Linked DNA regions of Mus musculus: region 1 is reported to be linked to region 2. Evidence: microRNA targets listed by miRTarBase, many of them from high-throughput screens and not tested one by one. Region 2 holds a microRNA gene; the other region holds the end of a gene's coding sequence.

The links. Region 2 holds the annotated microRNA mmu-miR-23a-3p (AUCACAUUGCCAGGGAUUUCC, at 3,040-3,060, shown strand). A microRNA usually pairs through its seed, bases 2 to 8, with sites in the 3' UTR of a target mRNA and lowers its output. Matches are read on the target gene's strand: a 7mer-m8 pairs with bases 2 to 8, a 7mer-A1 pairs with bases 2 to 7 and ends in A, and an 8mer does both.
Region 1: miRTarBase lists Bbc3 as a target of mmu-miR-23a-3p. The part of its 3' UTR that is shown has no 7-base or 8-base seed match.

The regions. Positions count from the first base shown.
Region 1 is chr7:16,315,972-16,323,069 of GRCm38, reverse strand. Bbc3 (BCL2 binding component 3) reads right to left here. Exons shown (of 4, transcript NM_133234.2): 4 at 4,736-5,952. The coding sequence ends at 5,836. It also overlaps a transcript of Sae1 not described here. Among named protein-coding and RNA genes, the nearest start is that of Bbc3, 9.9 kb to the right of the region's middle.
Region 2 is chr8:84,205,524-84,212,643 of GRCm38, forward strand. It overlaps Mir23a (microRNA 23a), which reads left to right and starts at 2,995; the gene lies at 2,995-3,069. Zswim4 (zinc finger SWIM-type containing 4) reads right to left here. Exons shown (of 14, transcript NM_172503.3): 14 at 5,419-7,120. The coding sequence ends at 6,423. It overlaps Mir27a (microRNA 27a), which reads left to right and starts at 3,149; the gene lies at 3,149-3,235. It overlaps Mir24-2 (microRNA 24-2), which reads left to right and starts at 3,292; the gene lies at 3,292-3,398. It also overlaps Mir3074-2.

The DNA of each region.
Region 1 (7,098 bases), not on the chromosome of region 2:
GCAGCCCCCCAAAAAGTTTGAAAGATTGAAAAGGTTGAGCAAGGTGACTCAGCGGGTACAGGAGCTTCCTGGAGTTTGTTCCCTAGGACCCATGCGGTAAAATACAAACCCTGAATTTCACAAGTTGTTCTCTGTCCTACACACACACACACACACACACACACACACACACACACTCAAAGATACATACATACATATACAGACATAGGTACATATACATATAGACACAGACACATGCATATACACACCAATATATACATGAAGTATACATACACTGTGTTAAAAACTTCATAACCTCTTGTGAGAAATGATCTCAAGGTCTGAACTATGGTACACAAGGCTTCATGCTATATAACCAGAACTTTACTGCCCACCCACAAATTATTCAAATTATAAAGCTAACTAAGAGGCAAATGTGTTGGCTCAAACCTATGAACCTAGTACTCAGACTCAGGCAGAAAATGGAGGACTGAGGGAGGGTGGAGCACACTTTTAATCCCAGCACTTAGAAGGCAGAGGCAGATGAATCTATAAATCCAGCCTGGCCTAAAAAATGAGTTCCAGGGGGCTGGAGAGATGGCTCAGTGGGTAAGAGCACTGACTGCTCTTCTGAAGGTCCGGAGTTCAAATCCCAGCAACCACATGGTGGCTCACAACCATCTGTAATGAGATCTGACGCCCTCTTCTGGTGCATCTGAAGACAACTACAGTGTACTTAGATATAATAATAATAAATCTTTTTAAAAAAAATGAGTTCCGGGGCTATATCAAGAAACCCTAGCCGGGCGTGGTGACGCACGCCTTTAATCCCAGCACTCGGGGAGGCAGAGGCAGGTGAATTTCTGAGTTCGAGGCCAGCCTGGTCTACAGCGTGAGTTTCAGAACAGCCAGGGCTACACAGAGAAACCGAGAAACCCTGTTTTGGAAAACAAACAAACCGAAAATGGAAGACTAAGTTAGTGTGGATATAGTAAGTCGGAAGCCAGTCTGGGCTCCAGAGGGAAATCATGTTCCAAGTTGGTATGCATGTATACATATATGTATGTGTGTGTATGTATGTGTGCACATATGCCCCTATGTGTGTAGTGAGCATGCGCACACACATGCATGCACATGTATTGGTTTGAATGGATTCTCCACAGGTTTCTGTCTGTGGACGTTTGCTCCTTGGTGGCACTGTCTTTGGCACTGTAAAAGTGTGGCTGGTGGATGCGCTGTGTTTCTGGGCAGGGTGCTCTGAGGGGTCCCTATTCCCTGCTTCTAGCCTGATCTTTCTGCTCTTGTGCTGCTAGAGCTGTGAGCAGCCAGACAAGCAATCAAATGTCCAGGGCTGCCTCCTCCAGTCAACAGGATGGGCTTGACCCTTAATGGCGAGTTGAGAGGCTGGCGTGTGGCTGGCATGCACAAAGCCCTGGGATCCATTGCCAATGCTGAGGAGGGGAAGCAGGAAGATTGGGGATTGGGTGTTCAAGGCCATCTTGGGCTAATCGAAACTTGTCTCAAAAGCAAAAAAGAGAGGGCAAGCGTCTGTAAAACTACTTAAAATGCTGAAGGGAGAGTTGGGGTATAGCTTAGTGACTTAGCACTTGCCTGCCATGGGTTTTATGGTTGCCCCATAAAACATGAATAAGACCAGGAAGTTGGCTCTGTGTGGGTAAAACTCAAGCCTGAGTTTGAATCCCTGGATCCCATGTGAAAGGCTGGGTGTGGCTGCCTGTGCCTGTAACCAAGATTGATGATGAGGGCAGATCGCCAGAGCTCCATGAGAAAATCCTGTCTCAAAGCAGGCATACCTGCACAGTCACCAAGGCACCAAGCAAAATGTAAATGAGCCAGTGGAAGGCAGGGGAAAAGACTTTACCCTCGCTATCTTACAGCTCAGGCTAAAACTCTTCCTTCCTTCCTTCCTTCCTTCCTTCCTTCCTTCCTTCCTTCCTTTCTTTTCTTTCTTTCTTTCTCTCTCTCTCTGCCTCTCTCTCTTTCTTTCTTTCTCTCTCTCTCTCTCTTTTTTTTTTGAGACAGGGTTTCTCTGTGTAGCCCTGGCTGTCCTGGAACTCACTTTGTAGACCAGGCTGGCCTCGAACTCAGAAATCTGCCTGCCTCTGCCTCCCGAGTGCTGGGATTAAAGGCGTGTGCCACCATGCCCGGCAAAATTCATTTTTTGTATCTCCATGTTTTGTCCACTGTAGGTTTGTCTGGGCACCATGTGTGTCTAGTGCACAGAAAAGCCAGAAGAAGACATCAGTTCCCCTGGAGCGGATGTTATCAGCTGCCCTGCAAGTGCTGGGAACTCAACCTAAGCCTTCTCCAAAAACCAGGAGTACTGTGAAGCACCTGGCCGTCTCTCCAGTCACCAACAACAACGCTGCTTGTTAGCAAATATTTTGGTAGCAGCAACAAGAAATTGCCTAATATAAGGTCTCACCCATCCCTGGACTGCCCTTGGACTCCTGATCCTCCTGCCGCCGCCACCCCCCACCCCCCCGCCATTCCCCAAGTACTGGAATTTCAGACAGGTGTTAGCAATCTGGCCCATACAATACTTATGAAAATTAATCAGTTAAATCTTATTAAAGATATTAAAAATATTAAAGGAATCAATAGTTTTAGAGACACAGTGCTTCTGTGGATGGAGGTCAGAGGACAACTTGTAGAGAATAGTTCTCTCCTTCTATAATATGAGTCTGGGGGCTGAAGTTAGGTTCTCATGCCTGGTGGCAATTAATTAGTCTTGGCACTTCCCCCCACCCACAAAGTTTCTCTCTGTAGCCATACTCGGAGATCTGCCTGCCTCTGCCTCCTGAGTGCTGGGATTAAAGGTGTGTGCTACCACATCACACCCCAGACTTGGCACTTTTTTTTTGTTTTGTTTTGTTTTGTTTTGTTTTTGTTTTTGTTTTTGTTTTTTTGAGACAGGGTTTCCCTTATAGCCCTGGCTGTCCTGGAACTCACTTTGTAGACCAGGCTGGCCTCAAACTCAGAAATCTGCCTGCCTTTGCCTCCCAAGTGCTGGGATCAAAGGTGTACGCCACCACTGCCCGTCGACTTGGCACTTTTGAGAACTGCTGTGTGCACAGTACACTTGGACTCTTGAACACATATATGTTCTTCTCGTGGAGATGCTCAGGAGGGCAGTGGATATGGCTTCATCAGATTCCTCTCCTCTATGCCCACAGCCCTCTAGAAGATCCACTTCCCCTAAATTGCTTTTTACTGTCACTGGCCACCAGGAAGGGATATACTACATATCTGCCTCTCCCTGAAGTCATTACAAAGCTGGCACTTGAGTGGGTTCAAGGACTGCCAATTCTCAGTCAGTTAGTAGGAAAAACTCTCCTTTCTCAAAATAATGCAAAGTGGGTTCTGAGGCTGTGCTCAGCATCGAGAGCTGGCCATGTGCCTGGCCTTAGGACAATGGTGCAAGGAATGTCTAGTTCTGATCTTAGCTCCAGGTCCCTTTCCAGCCAGAGAGCAACCTGAGGCTGGTCACAGGGCCAGGCTAGACCCCATGTCATTCAGGACAGAGCTCACAATCTGTAACTCAAGCTCTTGAAACAGTGGCTTCTAAACTATAAGCTATTCGTTCGTTCGTACAGTAAATCTTAAGCTTAGTTACACTCTTCATACCTGATGAAATAAGTACACATGAAGTATTAGTCCCTGTGTGTGCTTGCTCTCAAGACTACAGCAGTGGCTGCCAGCTCTGTGTAGCTACAACTTCTGTGCCTCTTTCATCCCGCCTTCCTTTTTTCTCTTGGTATAAGTAACTGAACCCAGGACTTTGTGCTCAGTTGAGCCACACCTCCATATCCTACTAGGCAGGGGCTCTACCACTGAGCAATGCTCCCAGTCTTTCTACTGTTTTTTTGTTTGTTTGTTTGTTTGTTTGAGACAGGGTTTCTCTGTGTAGCCCTGGCTGTCCTGGAACTCACTCTGTAGACCAGGCTGGCCTCAAACTCATAGATCCACCTGCCTCTGCCTCCCAAGTGCTGGGATTAAAGGTGTGTGTTACCACGCCCGGCTTTATTTTTAAATTAATTGTATATGAAGTTTGTATCTATATGAAAGCCTGCAGGCCAGAAGAGGGCATTGGATAACATTATACATAGTTGTGAGCCACCATGTGGTAGCTGGGAATTGAACTCAGGACCTCTGGAAGAACGGCTGGTGCTCTTCACAGTTGAGCCACCTCCCTGGCACATTTACCTATTTTATGTGCATATGTGTTTTTGGGGTTTTGGGTTTCCTTGTCCGCATGGAATGGGCCCTGTGCACATGCCTGGTACCCGCAGGCCAGGAGGTATCAGATCTGGAACTTGAGTTACAGAGTGTGAGCTGCAGCATGGGTGCTGGGACCTAAATGCAGATCCTCTTGAAGAACAGCCCATACTTCTACCTGCTGAGCCAGCGCTCCGCCTGTCCCCTCCACCTGTCCCCTCCCCATTGCTGAGACTGGGTCTCAGTTGCTCAGGCCTTCCAACTAGCTACGACAGGCCTGTGCCACCAGACCAGCCTCTAGCTTACCTTTTAGTATGACTGCCCCTTAAGAGTCCAAAAGTTCCAGTTTCTTTCTTTCTTTCTCTTTTTTACATTTATTTATTGTTATATGTAAGTACACTGTAGCTGCCTTCAGACACTCCAGAAGAGGGTGTCTGATCTCATTATGATGGTTGTGAGCCACCATGTGGTTGCTGGGATTTGAACTCAGGACCTCTGGAAGAGCAGTCAGTGCTCTTAACCACTGAGCCATTTCTCACACACACACACACACACACACACACACATACACACACACACCGTTTCTTTCATGTCCTTACAGGTAGTGCCAGATGCTCTGTCACTGGTAAAGCTAACAAAAAGAGTGTTCACTGTTCAATCTGATTTTATTGAAAAGGAAACATACAAAAATCATGTACAAAAAAAATTAACCAAACATGTACAGAAAATTCATTCCAGTATATCTACAGCAGTGCATGTACAGTATCTTACAGGCTGGGCCGTCCCTCCCCGCTCCCAGACTCCTCCCTCTTCTGAGACTTCCCCCCTCCCTGACTCCCCATCTTCCTCCCCAGCGCTTTGCCCTGGGGACTAAGGCTGGGGTGGCTTCCGCCAATATCTCCCACCCCCCAAATGAATGCCAGTGGTCACACGTGCTCTCTCTAAACCTATGCAATGAGATGGATGGGGATTGGGGGGGGGGGGGTGGTCCCGGGCAGAGCACAGGATTCACAGTCTGGACCCCTCCTGGACACCCCCAGATGAAGGTGAGGCAGGCATCGTTCACCGCCCGCCGGCGGCTCAGGGAAGATGGCTGGGCACTGGGTTAAGAAGGCCTTCACACGCCCCCCATTCTCTGGCTCCAGGAGGCTAGTGGTCAGGTTTGGCTCATATGCTCTTCACAGACCCCCTCCTCAGGAGGAGGGGGGGAAGCACCAGGGGCCTGAGGCCAGGCCCAAAGTGAAGGCGCACTGGGGACACCCCCAGCGTCCCCCCTGCAGCTGGAACGGGCAGCCAGCACCAGCAGCCTTTCCTGAGATGGTGGTGGGCGGCAGAGGCGGGCGGCTCGGTCCCCACCCCCTCAGTCACCATGAGTCCTTCAGCCCTCCCTTCCCTGGCTTTCGGGAGGCCAGGGTCCCCCCAAGTCCGTATCTCCATCAGTGCACCCAGGCTGCCCGGGCTCGAGTGGCATCCCTTGCCTGCCCCTGGGACGGGCAAGGCTGGCAGTCCAGTATGCTACATGGTGCAGAAAAAGTCCCCCGCGCTGGCCAGGGTGTCAGAAGGCGGAGGGGGTCCTGCCCCCCAAGTCTCCGACGTCCCCCGGGCGGGTGTAGGCACCTAGTTGGGCTCCATTTCTGGGGCTCCAGGATCCCTGGGTAAGGGGAGGAGTCCCATGAAGAGATTGTACATGACCCTCCAGGGTGAGGGTCGGTGTCGATGCTGCTCTTCTTGTCTCTGGGGAGAGGAGGAAGTAGGAATTAGCTTGGACCCGCAGACAGTGGGTTAGTGAGCAAAAGGTGTGGGTTCGAGATCGGTCCCAAAACTGAGCGCAACCCTCTTACCAGCCATTTTTCAGCCCCTCACTCACCAGGGCACACTCTCCCAACCTAGGTGGGAAGGGGCTGGGGCAGAATTCCCATAGCATAGAGCCTAGCACACACACCCTACGAATCACAAGGGCTCTAAGGGGTGGGCTGAAACGCAGCCCACTCAAGGTGAGAGACAGGCGTGGTGGCTCGAACTCATCTTAGTGTGCCTCACTAAATTTGTGCTAGAGCACAGGCTCCTAACTGGAAAAATCAAACCAACCAAACAAAAGGCTGTTGGGACATGGGAGAGAGTAAGGAGCAGCCCGACAGCCTAAGCAGTTCTCAAACCACCCCGGAAGAGTGTTGAGAACAGCAGGCCATGCCAGCAAGGCTGAGAGAAGGTATCTCTTGGCAATGCTGGCTTCAGGGAAACTCTTGTTCGATCCCTGGTGGTAGAGAAAAAGTGTGATGTAGCATCTAGATTTCTTCTGTGATGGCACAGGCCTGTAATCCCAGCGACTCAGGAGGCTGAGGCAGGAAGACAAAAGTTCAAAGCCTGTCTGAGCTATAAAGTGAGTTCAAAGCCAGTGTGAACAGCTTATTAAGAGCCAGCCTAAAAAAGAAAAAGAAAAAGAAAGAAAAGGAAAGAAAGAAAAAAAAAGGAAAAGAGAAAAAGAAAGAGAGAAAGAGAGAGAGAGAGAAAGAAAGAATGCTGGGTGTGGTAGCTCACATCTTTAATCTTAGAACTTGTGAGGCAGAGGCAGGCAGATCTCTGAGAATTCAAGGCTAGCATGGTGGTCTACATAGTGTGTTCTAGGACAGCCAGTGTTGGAAGGAAAGAAGGAAGGAAGGTAGGAAGGAAGGAAGGAAGGAAGGAAAGGGAGGGTGGGAGGGAGAGTGAGAGAAAGAAAGAAAGAAAGAAAGAAAGAAAGAAAAGAAAAGAAAAGAAAAGAAAAGAAAAGAAAAGAGAAAGAAAGGAAGGGAGAAAGGAAGGAAGGAAGAACGGAAGAGAGAGAGAGAGAGAGAGAGAGAGAGAGAGAGAGAGAGAGAGAGCAAGCTTTTATTTGGTCCT
Region 2 (7,120 bases):
TATGTAGGTGCTGGATATTGAACCTGGAACCCCCGGAAGAGCAGCAAGTGCTGAGCCATCTCTAGCCCTTTCTTTTTGAGACACACCATGTCTTGGTAGCCCAGGCTGGCTTCTAAATTGAGATCTTTTTACCCCTGTCCTAGATATAGGGATTACACGTCTGCAGTCTGCTGTCATGTCACATCATCTCGAGCTCTGAAATGATTCATTTTTGCTTTCTTGCAGACAGAGACTTTGCCACAGAGCACGTGTGTTCTTTGCCCATAGTCAGCCAGCAAAGAAGCTGCATAGCTCACATGCAGGCTGACGAGCTCCAGAACTGAGTGTCCCGTAGCCAAAACCCTTTCCTTCCCTTTCCTCCCCCTCCCCCTTTAAAAAGGGCCTCATATGTAGACCAGGCTGGCCTCAAACTCATATATATCTTCCTGCTTCTGTCTCTTCCTAGCTGGGATCACAGGTATGCACCACTGTAGGGCTTATATAAGACCTGGCCCTGGTGCATGGCATGAAAATTCTACTCTCCTCCCTTTTGTGTGTGTGTGTGTGTGTGTGTGTGTGTGTGTGTGTGTACAGAGTGCAATGTCAAGTGTAGTTTCTCAGGATTGTGTGTGTCTGATGTCCTAAAAGGTGGGAGACATAGAATCTCCTGTAACTGGAGTTACAGATGGTTGTGAGCCACTGTGTAGGTGCAGGGAACTCAACCCAGGTCCTCTGAAAGAGCAACAAATGCTCTTAACCACTGAGCCATCTCTCTAGCTCCAACCTTGTTTTCTCAGAGAAGGTGTCTTACTGGGACATGGAGCTGGTGAGGCGGGCTGGTGGTGAGCCCTAGAGCATCTTGTGGCTTCCCTTCCCCAGCTCTGGAATTACAAGTGTGAATTGCCATACCTGGGGACAACACAAGCCCTTTTGCTTACATGGTGACCACTTTATTGATTGACCTATCACTGAAGACCCTGATGTTTTTTTTTTTTTTTTTAAGATTTATTTATTTATTATATGTAAGTACACTGTAGCTGTCTTCAGACACTCCAGAAGAGGGAGTCAGATCTCGTTACAGATGGTTTTGAGCCACCATGTGGTTGCTGGGATTTGAACTCCGGACCTTCGGAAGAGCAGTCGGGTGCTCTTACCAACTGAGCCATCTCACCAGCCCGACCCTGATGTTTTATAAAGAAGACGTGTGTGTGTGTGTGTGTGTGTGTGTGTGTGTGTGTGTGTGTGTGTTGTCTGGTCTTTGTGCATGACAGTGCAGTACACTCAGAGACCAGAAGAGGGAGTGAAATCCCCAGAAGCTGGAGTTACAGGTAGTTGTGACAGGTGCTGAGATCCAAACTCGGGCCCTCTGCAAGAGCAGTAGCCACTCTTAACCACTGAGTCAGCTCTTTATCTGAAACAAGGTCACTTGTGTCACTATGTAGCCCTGGATGGTCTGAAACTCCCTACACAGACCAAGCTGGCCTTGAACTCTTAGAGATAGTACTGTCCAAGGCCTGGTTCTTGCTTTCCTTTGCCTTTCAAGTGCTGGGACTAACAGTGTGCACCACCATTCTTAAGTTTATTTTTATTGTCTGTTTGTGAATGTTTGCTTACGCGTACGTCTGTGCACCATATGTATGCCTGGTACCCACAGGGGCCAGTGGGGAGCGTTGGAGCTCTTGGGAATGGAGCTATAGATAGCTGTGCTTGTCATGTAGGTTCTGGGAAAGAAACCTGTCATCTCTCCAACATTGAAATTCTTTAAACAATTTTTAAAAATTGTGTGTGTGTGTTCCCAAGTGCAGAGATCAGAGGACAACTTGCAAGGGTCCGTATGCTTTTCTTCTTCGTGGTTCTTGGGTTTGAGCTCAGGGCATTGGGCTCCATAGCAGCTCTGCTCACTTGCTGGATCAGCTTGCTGGCCCCTGAAAACTTTAACTGGCACGCAGGACACTACTCTACATTGGGTAGGCCCCAAATTTTGTGGCTTGCCCTGGTACTGGGTGCTAAATACCTTCTCTGTAAGTTTTCACTGGCCTTCCTAGTAGAAGGTTTGGGGTTTTGTTGTTTTATTTTTGTTTTTCTTCTATTTAAGACTAGGGTCTCAAACTGTAGCCCAGTTAGGCCTAAAACTCATCATGTAGCTTAAGCAGGCTTTTGACTCCATTCTTGGCAACCTTCCTGCCTCAGTTTCCTCAATGCTGAGATAAACGTGAGCCACCAACTGCAACTGTTGTAGTCTGCTTTACAGATGGGGAAACTGAGGCTTGGAAGGCCTAGGGGAAACTTTACTGAGGTGTTATTGTTGGGGTGCATCGGCCTGCTTCTCCTTGCTTGGGCCCTAGGTGGTGTGGGGTGGGGGTGGGGTTATGTCTGAGCTGGCTGGGGAGGAGAGGGCTGAGGTGGGAGGCCCTGGAGTTTCCTCCTGCCCTTCAGGCTTCTAGGAAGTGGCGCCAGCTGGGGTGAGGTCACTTCCTCCCTCCAACCGTCCACCTCCCTCAGCTTCCTCTCCATGGCCCCATTTGGCCTGCTTTGGGCTCAGGGCTGTGGGTGGGGATAGAAGCAGAGTGGGAAGCAGCTGGGAAGGCTCTGCAGCCCCTTTGGCCTTAGGGCTTCAGGCACCTCCCGCTTTGTAGGGCTGGGGTAGAGGCACTGCTGGGTGCCCAGCATCCAGCAGCCTCGCTCCAACCTTCCTACGGATCGATGCTCCTCTTTTTTGGGAATGCTTCTTCCCTCTTGGAAGTAGAGGAGGGCTAGGGTGTGGATCAGCAAGCTGAGTTTAGATTCTGTCCCCAGCACCACTTAAACTGTGTGTGGTGAGGTGTACCTATAATCCTAGACTCCAGAGGTAGAGGCAGGAAGAACTGGTGCATTCGGAAACCTTGTGTTCAGCTATGTGAGACCCAGCCTGGTCAAGATAGGCAGGCAAGCAAGAATGCTCCAATCTCACTGTCTCTTCTTTCTCTCTTTAGGTGCTACACTCCGCTCCCACCTGCTGCCCCCCTCACTGTGCCTCGGACGGCTGGGGTTCCTGGGGATGGGATTTGATGCCAGTCACAAATCACATTGCCAGGGATTTCCAACTGACCCTGTGCTCTGCCTTGGGGGCTCCTGTCGCCAAGGATGTCTGTCTTGGGTACTGGGTAACAGAGAAGCCTATCATGACAACTGGCCTGAGGAGCAGGGCTTAGCTGCTTGTGAGCAAGGTCCACAGCAAAGTCGTGTTCACAGTGGCTAAGTTCCGCCCCCTGGACCCCATCTCCTCAGGCCGCTGCTGCCCACCCTGCTCTGCCTCCTGGCTGGCAGGGCTCTGCCTCTCTCCGGGCTCCGCCTCCCGTGCCTACTGAGCTGAAACAGTTGATTCCAGTGCACTGGCTCAGTTCAGCAGGAACAGGAGTCCAGCCCCCTAGGAGCTGGCAACCCTGCAGAATGTCTGCCGTGAGCAAGACCTGGAAACAATGGGGTAATTAGTCCAACCTAAGCCCCGTTGTCTGCTGGAGGCTCAGCCTCTAAGCCTGCATCTGGGTGTCCACCTTGAGATTTCTGTGGTTCCCCAAAGCAGATAGATGGGCGGGTAACCCTTGCATTAAAAGCCAGTTATGTCCCCTCAGGGCCTGGAAGCCCTTCTTTTCCTAAGTCTGGTGGGGCTCAGGCACCACCCCTTATACATACCATCTTTGAAGTCAGTTACCCAAGAGGAAGCTGCTTTAGGCCCTCTAACGGTTAAATGCCAACTCTCTGCTTCCGGAAGAAGGCACTGACCTGATCCAGTGTGCCTAGCAATCCCATGGGGTCTGCAGCTTTCTGCTGGTGACAGCGAGGCAGGGAGCGAGGTCCACACAGGCCTCAGGATATGAACAGATCCATGCCCCCCCCCCCCATTGGCCTGTTGAAGTAATCTCCAGGCTTGGAAGTTAAAAAGTTGCCTACTACCCACAAATGAGACTGCATGCAGACTAATTGGAACTGGCTGAGTTACACTTCCCAGACCATACAGTGTCCTCTCCCTACTCTGGGCAGGGGCAAATCGAAGCCTGGGTGGAAGAACAGAGTTGAAAGCTTGTATTGAATGTTGTTCTCCAACTAAATAAAAGCTCCACAGCCTCATTCCGTAAGGGCTGACGTCTCTTCATTCCCGCCTCCCACATGTGTGTTGCTGGCTTTTTTCATTTCTCTTGAAACAGCATTTCTGTGTAGACCAGGCTGACCTTGAATCAAACTCCTCCAGTGTCTGGAGTTTGGGAATACCAGCTGCACCACTATATCTACCACACCCTGGGCTCCTAACCTGCATTGCACCTATCCCCAACCTTGCTCCACCTGCTTCTAGGAAGGTGTAAATATAGTTCTGTGGTCAGTAGGTGCTGCGACCTGAAGATCCTGGGATCCTTTGGGGATGGCTTGAACGGGAGGGATAACCCAGACCTGGGGTGTATGAGACCAATCTGTGGTCACCCCAGTTCCATGAGGGAGTATGTTACAAGAATGTACTCTGCCTATGCTGGGATGCACTGACTGGCAAGATGCCAGGGCTTAAGGACGGGCACATATGCGCGCACAGACAGACACGCGCGCATGCACACACACACACACACACACACACACAGGGCTTAAGGACGGGCACATATGCGAGCACAGACAGACACGCGCGCATGCACACACACACGCACGCGCGCGCGCCCGTCTACACACACACACACACACACACACACACACACACACACGCACGCACGCACGCACGCGCGCGCGCCCGTCTGCGCCAGAAGGGCTAAGGGGCGGATCGCCTCTGATCGGCTCCCTGGAGCAAAGGAACGCACCATGAACTATGGCCACACTCATAGTCACAGCCAGCTCCCATAGTGCCCCACAGAGGCAACACACACACACACACAGCTTCCAAGAGAACGGTCCTAAACAATGACCCTGTCAGACACAGCTAAGGACATAAAGAACCGGAGAATGAGAAGAATGCCCAGGCCGTCCGCTGGATGAATCCATCTAAGAACGGGAGTCTCATCCACAGCCCAAAAATGCAATGGGCAGGTCACTGGGGACACAGGCGTCCCCAGCTGCCCTCCGCACCTGGTGAGACCTCCGGAGCTCCGAATGACGTTGTCTGGAGCCAGACGCCCCCTGGTGGTCATTTCCTGCAATGAAGGACAGTGCAATCTGGGTGCATTTTCCAAAAACCTACAGACTCTAGGTTTGGGCGTTTTAAGCCTCCTGACTTGCAGAGATTATGACATGCAGATGGAAAAGCAGTAAAGCCACCAGCAAGAGGTGGCTCTTCGTGTCACCACGATGCCATGAAGAAACCAGCAGCCTCTCCTGTCCCATTCAAGTTGTGCCCAAAAACCGAGATGGAAAATTTTTTGGTTAATTGAGCAGGTGGTAGGTACCCCTGGCCCCGGGTGTTTGTGTTAGCAATGCAACCCAGTCTTGAAGTTAAAAAGAAGTTGTGTTCAATCTTTTTTTTAAAAAAAAAGGAAAAAAAAAGGAAAAGAATACAGTATGGGGTTCAATAAATAAGAAAAAAAGTTACAAAATGATGCCAACTTTTTCCTTAATATACAAGAGAGAAGACAGGTGCGTCTGGGGTGGAGGCTCTCCCTTCTCTTCCTCCCTGGGCCAAGGCCTGGGATACAGGAAGGCCTGTCAGCAGCTGGGACTTGAGAGAGATGCAGACATGGGGAAACTAAGGGAGTGGGGAAACAAATGGAGGTGCAGAGCAAGAGGAAGACAGAACGGGGTCCCTGGCTGTCTGCCTGTGCCTCCCACAACAGGCTGGAGGGCAGCCTGACTCCTGAGTTGTGTATCCAGTTACTAGTGGTGGGGTCTGGCCAGCAGAGAGCTGTCCCCAGCCTACCCTGTGACCTTGGTGCCCAAGAGAAGACAGGCCCTGGCTTGACAAGGGTATTTGGGGGTGAGGTATGTGGCAGAGGCCCAAGACCTCTTAATATCCTTCAGTGGGGTGAGGCATTTGTGCTGGAAAGCTGGGGCTGGGGGCGCAGGGCAGTGGGACAGGAGCCCTGAGCTGTGGAGAGGGGAGAAACACAGTGGGAAGTAACTACCCTGATGTGAAGTGCCTAGGCTCCGGCCAGCTCCGGCTCTGGAGCATCTGCTGCACTGAGTTGGAGGCCTAACTTCACTCTGGCCCAGCCCTTCTCCTGGAAGTCCCAGCTGACCCTGGGAGTCTGGAAGAGCCAGAGCTTGCTTCTTCCGTGTGAGGTGCCCAGGCACATACTCCCTGCAGGGTCTAGTTAGCAGTATGGCTTCGGATCCTCAGATCGCATGTCCCGTTTGTCTGCACACTCCTAGGCACACACCTGGAATGATGTCACCCTCTGCCTCCCACCTCTGTAACTTTACTGCAAGTAGCCATGGGCCTCCTGTTTGAGGAAGGTGGGCCTGGGACACCCATGCTCCCGGCTTTCTGCAGTTCCTCAGCCAAACCGTTCCCGAACCAACAGCATCAACTTCTTCTTTCCCTTGTACGTCTGTTTCAGGTTTTCTAAGAACTGTGCGAACTGGAGGTGCCCGTCTGGTGCCAGAAGGAAGGTCTCTCGAGCTTTGCCCAGGAACTCAATGAAGTCACCATAGTGGCGTGGGCTAATGTGGGTGAGGCGAGAGTGGCTGGTGGTTATGTACGCGGCTACTGCGGCATCCAGAAGCTGACAAAGTGGTGCCCTGTCAGTCCCTAGTGGTTTGGTAGCCCTGCGGGCCCCCAGTGGGCCCAGCCCGGGTGCTGAGAGTGTCCAGCGTCGCAGGATGTCTGAGAGCATGGGTGCACAGTGGATGCTTCGGATGATGAGAGGGACAATGGCCGACAATTCGTGCCGCCCCAGCGAGTGGCTGAGGGAGCAGGCCCACAGCACATCGTTGACTGCAGGGTGGCTGTCTTGGTTGAAGGCAATGCTGAGTTGTGCCAAGGCTAGCGTGGCCAGCTTGTAGGCCCGCAGAGGCAGGCCTCGATGCTCCATATACCGTGCAACCGTGAAGAGGTGGGCGTGGCCGAGGCCACCGGCTGCAGCGTCCAGCACAATCTGGTAGGCAGCCTCAAAGGCCGCGTGGTTCTTCTCACACAGGGTCAGGGCTGGCAAGGCGCAGTTCTGGGGATCCTTCATGGCGCACTGCAGTGCCA